Nothobranchius furzeri: one gene and its partner. The protein of the gene in region 1 purifies or fractionates together with the protein of each later gene. This does not show direct contact. Links are inferred from orthologs where the notes say so. Each region holds a gene or a part of one and is shown on either strand. Other genes may lie near its edges. The genes, in order: ecd and eapp.

Region 1 (4,357 bases):
TAGCCTGCAAACAGCTACCTGTTGTGTGCCGAGACAGCTTCCTGCAGGTCACGGAGGTGGTGATGAGGAACTGGATTATCGTTTGGTTCTTCAGGGAGAGGGTGGTGATCGAGGCGGCTATGAGACAACCCACGACTGCAACACATGAATGAATTAATGACATCGGTTATCAGACGTTAGAAGGAGAATTCAAACGGCCCAGACCGTAGAGTCAAAAAATAAGACACATCTCGAAAGCATAAGTCTGCATTTATATTCTTTAGCTGATGACCATGAACCAAAAATCAATTCAAAAAGGCTTTAAAGTTGTATGTATGTATGTATGTATGTATGCATTTATTTATTTTGTGTGTTACTACTAAGGATCTTTCTCACAGTTTTATAAAAAGGAGCCAATGATCCATTGAATTCCTTTGCATCAGTCATGGATCTAAGGTCAAGGTAGTGAACAGAATTAAGTTTCTAGGAATCAATACTACACACGCAGCCACGGTCCTTAAGCATTATAAATAAATAAAAAACAGCCCGGAAATGACTGTGCAGACATCTAACAGTGGTAATACAATGGGCAATCAAACCCAGCTAAAACACAATTAAATGTTACAATGGGTCATTATTATGGTAAATACTAATCTTCTGTAAGCCCAAGAAATTTTTCTGAAGAAAAACAACTGACATAGTAAACTATATAGATTGAATATTGTGTGACTCAAGCAGCTAAAAGTCAGATCAGCTCAGTAGTAACTCGCTGGAACACCACACACACACAAACAACATATGTAGATTTAAGCCGCAGGGGGCTGAAGCAACATTTGGTACTCACATCTCAAGTTTGTGCGATACAGGTTTTCTGTTGTATCGTGAAATCATTCTCCTTTCTCTCCGTTTTATGGGCTCAAGCCCTCGACTCCCATCCTTGCCTCTGCTTCTTGGACTCTATGTGAGAAGCAGACGAGCCTCACCATCCTCGATCGGTAGTCCGCAAGACAAAAGACACGCTCTTTTTATCTGTTGAGGGGAGGAGGCTACGCTAAAAAGAGCTGAGAGGCGTTGATGCGACCGTGACATGCAAACAGGGCACAGGTGGTGTTATAAAACTTCCGCAAATATGTTAACCATTAAGTTAGACTGTCTACACTAGGTACTAATCACGTTTGTCCGGAAGTTATGTAGCGATCAGGCTAATAGCTTAGCATTAATGTGTGTATACATGCTAGCATTAGCACCGACGAAAACAACAGCGCGGCTGTCATGGATACGCAGCCTCTTAACCGCGCGGGTTCGCGGGAAATGTATTTCTGAAGAACGTGTAACGCGTTCTTCACAAATCTGTTTTCCTACATTTCCCAGACATCTCTCCGGCGATGTGGTTACGTCTCTGAAATGTTTCCGTTCGTAATAATAAGAAATCATTCAGCGTATGATTTATCAGTTAATTTACTAAGTTAAAATTATTTATCAATAATAATTAAGTAATTAATATACGGTACAAAGGTTAATTTTTAAGTGAGATATTTTATAACGTACATACATTTGAAACCGGAACTTCATCGAAAGAAATGTGAGTGTCGACTACAAATTGTGGACGGACCTAAACAGTCACTGATGGCGTGCTAGCAACGTCAGAAAATACCAAATTTCTTCAGTTCTGGTTTGCAGAGATTTAAAATTAAAAGGACCTTTTACATGCACGACAAGGTACATTTAACTGACATATTTACGTCTTGGTGAGACTAGCTCTCCCCAGACATCTCCTTTATTCAGTAAATTAATCATTTTTTCTTTTCTTTTATCAGCTACAATGGATGCTCTGCAGAAAAGGATGATTCAAGAAGATACGGTTCAGTACAAACTATTCTTGGTCCAGTCAAATGGTTTATCTTCTCAGCAGACTGAAGAACGCCTAAAATGCTTGACAGAGGAGATTTTGGCTAAATTAGCTCCACTTTTGGTACAGTATATCTGGCAACATCAGCCATTCAGCCTCAGATTTCATTCAGAGAAAGGTAAGATTTAATCAGCTGCACTTAGATGATGACCTATCAGGGTGTGCTAAAACAAAGTGTATGGTAATCTATCTGACGGGTCAACTGGCTCATCAAAGTGTCATACATCTTTTAAAATGTATGATCTGATAGCGTATGCATGTCTGAAAAGCCTTGTGTTGTCAGATAGGCATACACTGTAATACGCACTTGCCAATCTGTCAATGTATGGTGATTAGACAGAACACCTGTTTATAACGCAATGTAACCATCAAATCTCACGTGTCCTGATAGGAAATATTCCTGCTCACATTGGAGGCAGCAGTCAGTTTGGAGACAACGTTGAGGACGAGTGGTTTATTGTTTACCTCTTGAAGCAGATCACAGAAGTTTTTCCAGAGCTTGCAGCCAGGTGAGACACTATAGGGTCTCAGTGTTACTGTTGCAACAGAAATGTGTTCTTGCTGCATACAACTCTATGCTGTTTGTGTGTGCAGGGTTGAGGACAACGATGGGGAGTTTATTCTGATCGAAGCTGCTGATTACCTTCCAAAGTGGTTGAACCCAGACACGAGTGAAAACAGGGTTAGCCCTTCTGATGAAATGGGACATAATATTGTGTGATTCGTTATAGCTGGATATTGGTTGAGAATTCATGTGAAAGACACTTTAAAATGCAAATTTTCCATTTGACTTTGGCTGCATTTCTTTACAGGTTTTTCTTTACAAGGGAGAGCTGCACATCCTTCCTTGCCCCTCCAAACTAAGTCCAGTGGGCTTCCCAGTTGATGTTGTTCCCAGTGTGGCAGAAGCCATAGAACTACTCTCCACTCATCCAGACTCCTGTCAGGCCAGCCCTAAGATATGCTCAGCTCTGAACAAGAGAATAAAAGGGTGAGAGGGTTTGAAAGAACACCACTGCTCTTTGGTATCTAATAGCTATTAGCCTCGTAAATGTTGTTGACACAATCTCTGCATTCCTTCTGTGCAGGAAACACATTATACCATAGCAACACGGGGAACATCAGCATGGCTCATACAAGCCCTGTAAAGTTTTAGAAAAAACATTATCTCTGTTTTTCATCTAGGTATCCAGAGAAGATCCAGAGTAACCTCCACCGGGCTCACTGCTTCATACCTGCAGGGGTAGCCACTGTTCTGGCGCAGCGTCCAGACCTGGTTGCTCCTGCGGTTTCAGCGTTTTATCTGCGGGATCCGGTGGATCTACAGGCCTGTCGAAGCTTCAAGACTTTTCCTCCTGATACGAGAATCCTCACTTTGGTGAGTGCACAAAAACACTCGTGAGTGCATAACTTTTTTGTGAAATGTTGCCTTTAATTGAAACCTGGAACTTGATATTTATTCTTTAGGTGACGTTCACCCGCTGCCTTTATGCACAGCTGCAGCAGCAAGATTTTATCCCAGATCGGAGGAGCGGATTTAGCCTGCCTCCTCGCTCTCATCCTCAGTACAAGGCTTATGAGTTGGGCATGAAACTGGTGAAGCATATTTTGTTTGTTTGTTCTTTTGCTGTTTTTGCAACAAAATATATGGATAACTTGTGTTTGGAGTCTTGTAGGATGTTTTTTAACTGTGCATCCTTCTCTCAGGCCCATGGCTTTGAGATCCTGTGCTCTAAATGCAGACTGCCGTCCTCGGAGCCAAACGCGCCAGTAAGCTGCAACCCCCAGTGGAAAGGCTTCTTGGAGAGCCTGAAAAAGAACGACTACTTCCAGGTGTGGTGCACTATTTTGTATTTAAATTAAAAGCAGACACTTGGAAGAGCAGCATGCTCAGCGATTCGCTACCATACAGTGATTCAGTGCCATTGCTGTCTAACGCAGGGAGAGCTGGAGGGTTCGGTACGTTTTAAAGAACGCTTAAGATCAGCAGAAATTTTCTTCAAGTACTCCGTTGTCTCAAAGTCAAGGTGAGAAGCTATCTTGTGTATGAAAATGTGTTAATCAAATGAAGTATGTTTTGCACAGGCATACTCTAGGCTGGCCACTCAAATGTGCAGTTTGATCTCAGCACACATGTGGCCCACCTGAGTTTTTAGCTCAGGTAGGTGGTGCCTGATAAAGTAACGTTCAAAACTGGGCTCTTTGTTTCCTAACAGAATGTTGCATCATGCAGTAGAGACCATAGCTACCTTTCATATGCCAGCGCAGCGGTGTGAACGTGCTTGATGTGTGTTTTCAGTCCTCTGTCCCCTGGGGAGGAAGTTGTTGAGGTGCTTCACAGCAGTCCTCCGTTCGACTTGGAGGAATTGAAAAAACAGCAGTCACAGCTTCCCCAAGAGGACAGTGAGTAGAAACGATAAACGATGGAAAGTCATTCTTAAGACGAGCAGATTTTTTTGCTTGAATGGG
Region 2 (4,320 bases), on another chromosome or scaffold:
AACATTACAGCTTGTTTAGGGGGATTAAGTTGGTACAGGATTTAGTTTTTACCGTAATGCCGTGAAATGTTAACATTGTTTTTGCTGGTGTGCTGCTGCATTAGGCTGTTGTTAACTAATATATACATGCACTCTCTACTTTTGGATTTTTCTTTTTAAAGACTTTTGAGACTTCTTCTTTTGTTTCATATATACATACATACATACATACATACATATATATATATATATATATATATATATATATATATATATGTATATATATATGTATATATATATATATATATATATATATATATATGTATATATATATATATATATATATATATATATATATATATATATATATGTATATATATATAAATATATATAAATATATATATATATATATATATACATATATATATATATATATATATATATATATATATATATGTATATATATGTATGTATGTATGTATGTATGTATGTACATTTATATATTTATATATATATATATATAAATATATATATATGTATATATATATATATATACATACATTTATATATTTATATATATATATATGTATATGTATAAATATGTACATACACACATATATACATATATATGTATGTATATATGTATTTATATATGTATATATATATATATATATAAACGAAAAACACTTTAAATCTTTTAATGTTTTTATGATCTTGGACACAGATACATTTATTACATATGTTTTCGGAAGGTTGCAGGTTCGAGTCCCGCTCAGTCTGTCGCTGTCATTGTGTTCTTGGGCAAGACACTTAACCCACGTTGCCTGCTGGTGGTGGTGGGAGGGACTGGTGGCGCCAGTGCTCGGCAGCCTCGCCTCTGTCAGTGCGCCTCAGGGCAGCTGTGGCTACATCGTAGCTCTTCCCCACCAGTGTGTGAATGTGTGTGTGAATGACTGATTGTGTTGTAAAGCGCCTTGAGGGGTTCCATGACTCTAGAAGGCGCTATATCAAATACAGGCCATTTACCATTGATAACATCACAAATATATTTCAACACAGATGTAATTTTTCATAAATATTCTATAATTTTACATGTGTATTATCACAAATATATTTCACAGCTTAGTGGTTCTTCATCACAATTATAATTAAATTTAAAGTGGTAATTGTGAAAAATTATTTACGTAATAATTAGTGTTATTATGCAGATTTCGCATACATTTCTATTTTTGTATTCGCACTGAGCAGGAATCGAACCCACGCAGTTCGACTCCCGGACAAAACAGTTTAAAAAAAAACTGCCTCAACCCTCCAGTCCACTAGAGGGCGCTAGGGTAGTTTGGAGTTGGTTTTCCACCAAGTGGAAAGGTGACATAGAACTAGTCGTTTTCTGTCACTACGTAGAAGTAATTATGTTCCCATAGTTAAACTTTCAGCCGTCAGAATGAACATGCTGAATAAATCACAGGACTTTGACTCATATGAAGTCGAAGAGCCAAGTGACGAGGAGCGGGCAGCGAGCAGGTAGGGATCAAATAAACTACGGTTTCTAACATTAGCATCGTGGCTAGCATCTCCGGTGTTCTACATGAACTAGACATCAGCTCAAATGGTGTGTGGTGGATGCATCGGACATAGGTGGCTCATCAAAGCCTGATCAAAACTATGCGAATGTAAACAAACTGTTCATAAACGTAATTGATGTTGGTATAAACGCGAGTAAAGCATGTTGCCTTCTATCTTATGTGACATCTGTTTGTGAGCAATCGTTCTAAAATAAAAAAGAGGGTCAAAATGATCACAACTGAAACAGCGTTGAGGCGCGTTAAGGTGAGGTTGGTGTTTTAAATTAACTGGTGATTCGTCCCTTTACTGGTTCAAACAGCCTGTTTATTATGATCCATGGAAATGAACATGGATTTAAGCTGCTTGGTTTGAACCCACACGGGCTTTTAGAAACTCGTTTTCTTGGGTTAATTTACGACAAAACTAGAACGAGAGTTTTGTACATCTTGTTAAAAAAATAATAGAGCAGACTTGTACACTGTGGTCCAGATGAAACTCAACACAACTTTTATACAGTATTATTAAAACACTGTCGACGAGAAGAGATGCTAGTACATACTCAGTCCGCTAACAGATTCACTCTCTCAGAAGAACTCAAGACCTTATCCCACTGAATCCAAGACCCCAAGGCCACAATGCCCCGAGCATTATCTGGTTGTTCTGCTCTGGTGTTTCTGTTTTATGTGACCTGGACTCATAGAGTTACTTGGCTGAAATATTTTCCCGTTGCATGTGATGTCATACTACTCACTGGAACACCTCTTTCTTCGTGGTGGAAGTGAAGGGAACAGTTTGTCCAAAAGAAGCTAGTTTGTAGCCTTATATTGTGCTTAGTTTGTTGGTATTGCTGTAAGGTGGTTATCGCTACTAACAGACGAGCTTATAAACTCAACTTGTTTTTATTTTAAATAACTTTGATGGGAACGGAAGATGGAGACGGACAGCAGCTGTCAATCACTTGTGTAGTAATAGTTAAAATAAGGGATGCAGCACCAGTGCTGCTCATTTGTTTTGTCGGGTAGATTTTCAGTCATCTCTAGGGATGTAAGACAATATCGATATGGCAATATATTGTGATATTTTTTCCAGCAATATTACATCGATATTCAAAAGCCGTGTATCTAATTCTTGAAAGAATTTACATGCAAACATTTGTGTATTTTCTTTTCGTTTTGTGCAATTTAATCGCCGCCCGCTAGTTTGCAGCAGTGTGCAACAGGTTTTGTTTCCACCATTGAAATGTAAATCCCTCCATCATGGTTCAGATACCTCATGTTAAACATGTTACGTATCAGTTTGGACTGTTAAACATTCTTACAATAAATTCAGTAAAAAAAATTGCTTGTAACGTCTGACTGAATGTATCGCAATATATCTTGATATATCGTATCGTCTCCCCTGTATCGTGATATGTATCGTATCGCCAGAATTTCAAAAGTACACATCCCTGGTCATCTCAGACCAAACATTTGAGGTTTTTTATTTTCTTCTTGTGGTTGTGTTTCAGTTCAGAGGATGAGCTGGATGTGCTTCTGAACGGGACAGCAGAGCAGAAGAAGAAGCTGATCAGAGAGTATCTGACGGGGGAGAGCGAGTCGTCCAGTGAGGATGACTTTGAAAAGGAAATGGAGACGGAGCTCAGCTCCACCATCAGGAACATGGAGGGAACCTGGGCACCAGCAGCTAGTAGGACACCAACAAATGTTATTATAACTAGTTTAGTTGGACCAAGGAAATTGTGTCCTGTTTTGGACGTGGCAACTAATGATTGTGTGTGATTAAATAATCATTGTGGCCCTCCGCGACTGCTATGAAATCATTCCTGAGAGTTTAAGTGGTGGTGATGAAGTTTCTCTTTGTTCAGACAGCGGTGGTGAAGGAGCAGGTGCCGGTGGCGTAGGAGGTTCCAGTGTTCCCAATCCACCGATGTATGACGAAGTTTACTTTGATTCTGACTCAGAGGACGAGGACACACCAAGTACGACGTCACTTTACACGACTTCATCTTCACTTTGATTTTGGTTAATTTCACCTGTTTGTTACAGGCAGCTCTACCAGCTGGAAGCGGAGACAGCGTGTAGTTCCTACCAATGATGAGCTGTTGTATGACCCAGACGAGGATGACAGGGACCAGGCTTGGGTAGACGCCAGACGGTAGTTCTGTAAAACACTGCCACTAGTACTTTTTTTGTCTTCTTGTAGGCCGTTTACCCATTTCTGTTCCTGTTCAGGTATAACAGCAGAAAACAACCAAATGCAGCCTCCCGGTCCAAATCCGGCCAACCTCGGTGTTTACCCAACAGTGATGCTGTTCTCAACTGTCCCGCCTGCATGACGACGCTCTGCCTGGACTGTCAGAGGTCAGGCACAACTATCCTGCTGTGTGTTCTTGTTGATTGTGTCAGCTAGCATGAACCAAAAACAAAGTTGTATGGCAATATCACAACGGGTTGCACTAATGTTCCCTAGGGTGCACGACACATCACAGATGGGTCCATATCATTTACAGTGTCACGCATGTATCAGAGCACAAAGGGAACAATGGAGTTTCATCATTTTAGCTGCGTGTTAGCTGCCTCTGACTCATGCATCAGTGTAGTGTAAGGTTGGGCGACTGGACTGTCGGCGATGGGCCAGTCTTTTTTTATCAGCAATATTTTTTATGCCATGAATTAGTCTCTCAGATGGGACTTTGCTAATGTTCATGTCAAATCAGCGTCTTGCTCTATGTGCACATACTCATTACACATCATTTGAAAGCTTGGAGTCTCGTGA

Evidence for each region.
Region 2: the proteins of ecd (region 1) and eapp purify together in Homo sapiens (affinity purification with mass spectrometry; 3 studies listed by BioGRID and IntAct, counting the BioPlex papers as one, with this or other methods). This does not show direct contact. The link is inferred for Nothobranchius furzeri from reciprocal best matches to the Homo sapiens genes ECD and EAPP.

What each region holds. Positions count from the first base shown.
Region 1 is NC_091752.1:30,506,323-30,510,679, forward strand, and holds the start of ecd (protein ecdysoneless homolog), read left to right. Parts: upstream 1-1,549; 5' UTR 1,550-1,698; intron 1,699-1,796; 5' UTR 1,797-1,801; coding exon 1,802-2,006; intron 2,007-2,279; coding exon 2,280-2,397; intron 2,398-2,482; coding exon 2,483-2,570; intron 2,571-2,700; coding exon 2,701-2,879; intron 2,880-3,073; coding exon 3,074-3,266; intron 3,267-3,355; coding exon 3,356-3,484; intron 3,485-3,595; coding exon 3,596-3,721; intron 3,722-3,829; coding exon 3,830-3,915; intron 3,916-4,187; coding exon 4,188-4,291; intron 4,292-4,357. Other genes in the region: protein FAM149B1, read right to left, coding at 19-135, 824-870. UniProt on the Homo sapiens protein: Regulator of p53/TP53 stability and function. Inhibits MDM2-mediated degradation of p53/TP53 possibly by cooperating in part with TXNIP. May be involved transcriptional regulation. In vitro has intrinsic transactivation activity enhanced by EP300.
Region 2 is NC_091758.1:7,753,931-7,758,250, reverse strand, and holds the start of eapp (E2F-associated phosphoprotein), read left to right. Parts: upstream 1-1,315; 5' UTR 1,316-1,423; coding exon 1,424-1,503; intron 1,504-3,052; coding exon 3,053-3,231; intron 3,232-3,409; coding exon 3,410-3,523; intron 3,524-3,590; coding exon 3,591-3,699; intron 3,700-3,776; coding exon 3,777-3,905; intron 3,906-4,320. UniProt on the Homo sapiens protein: May play an important role in the fine-tuning of both major E2F1 activities, the regulation of the cell-cycle and the induction of apoptosis. Promotes S-phase entry, and inhibits p14(ARP) expression.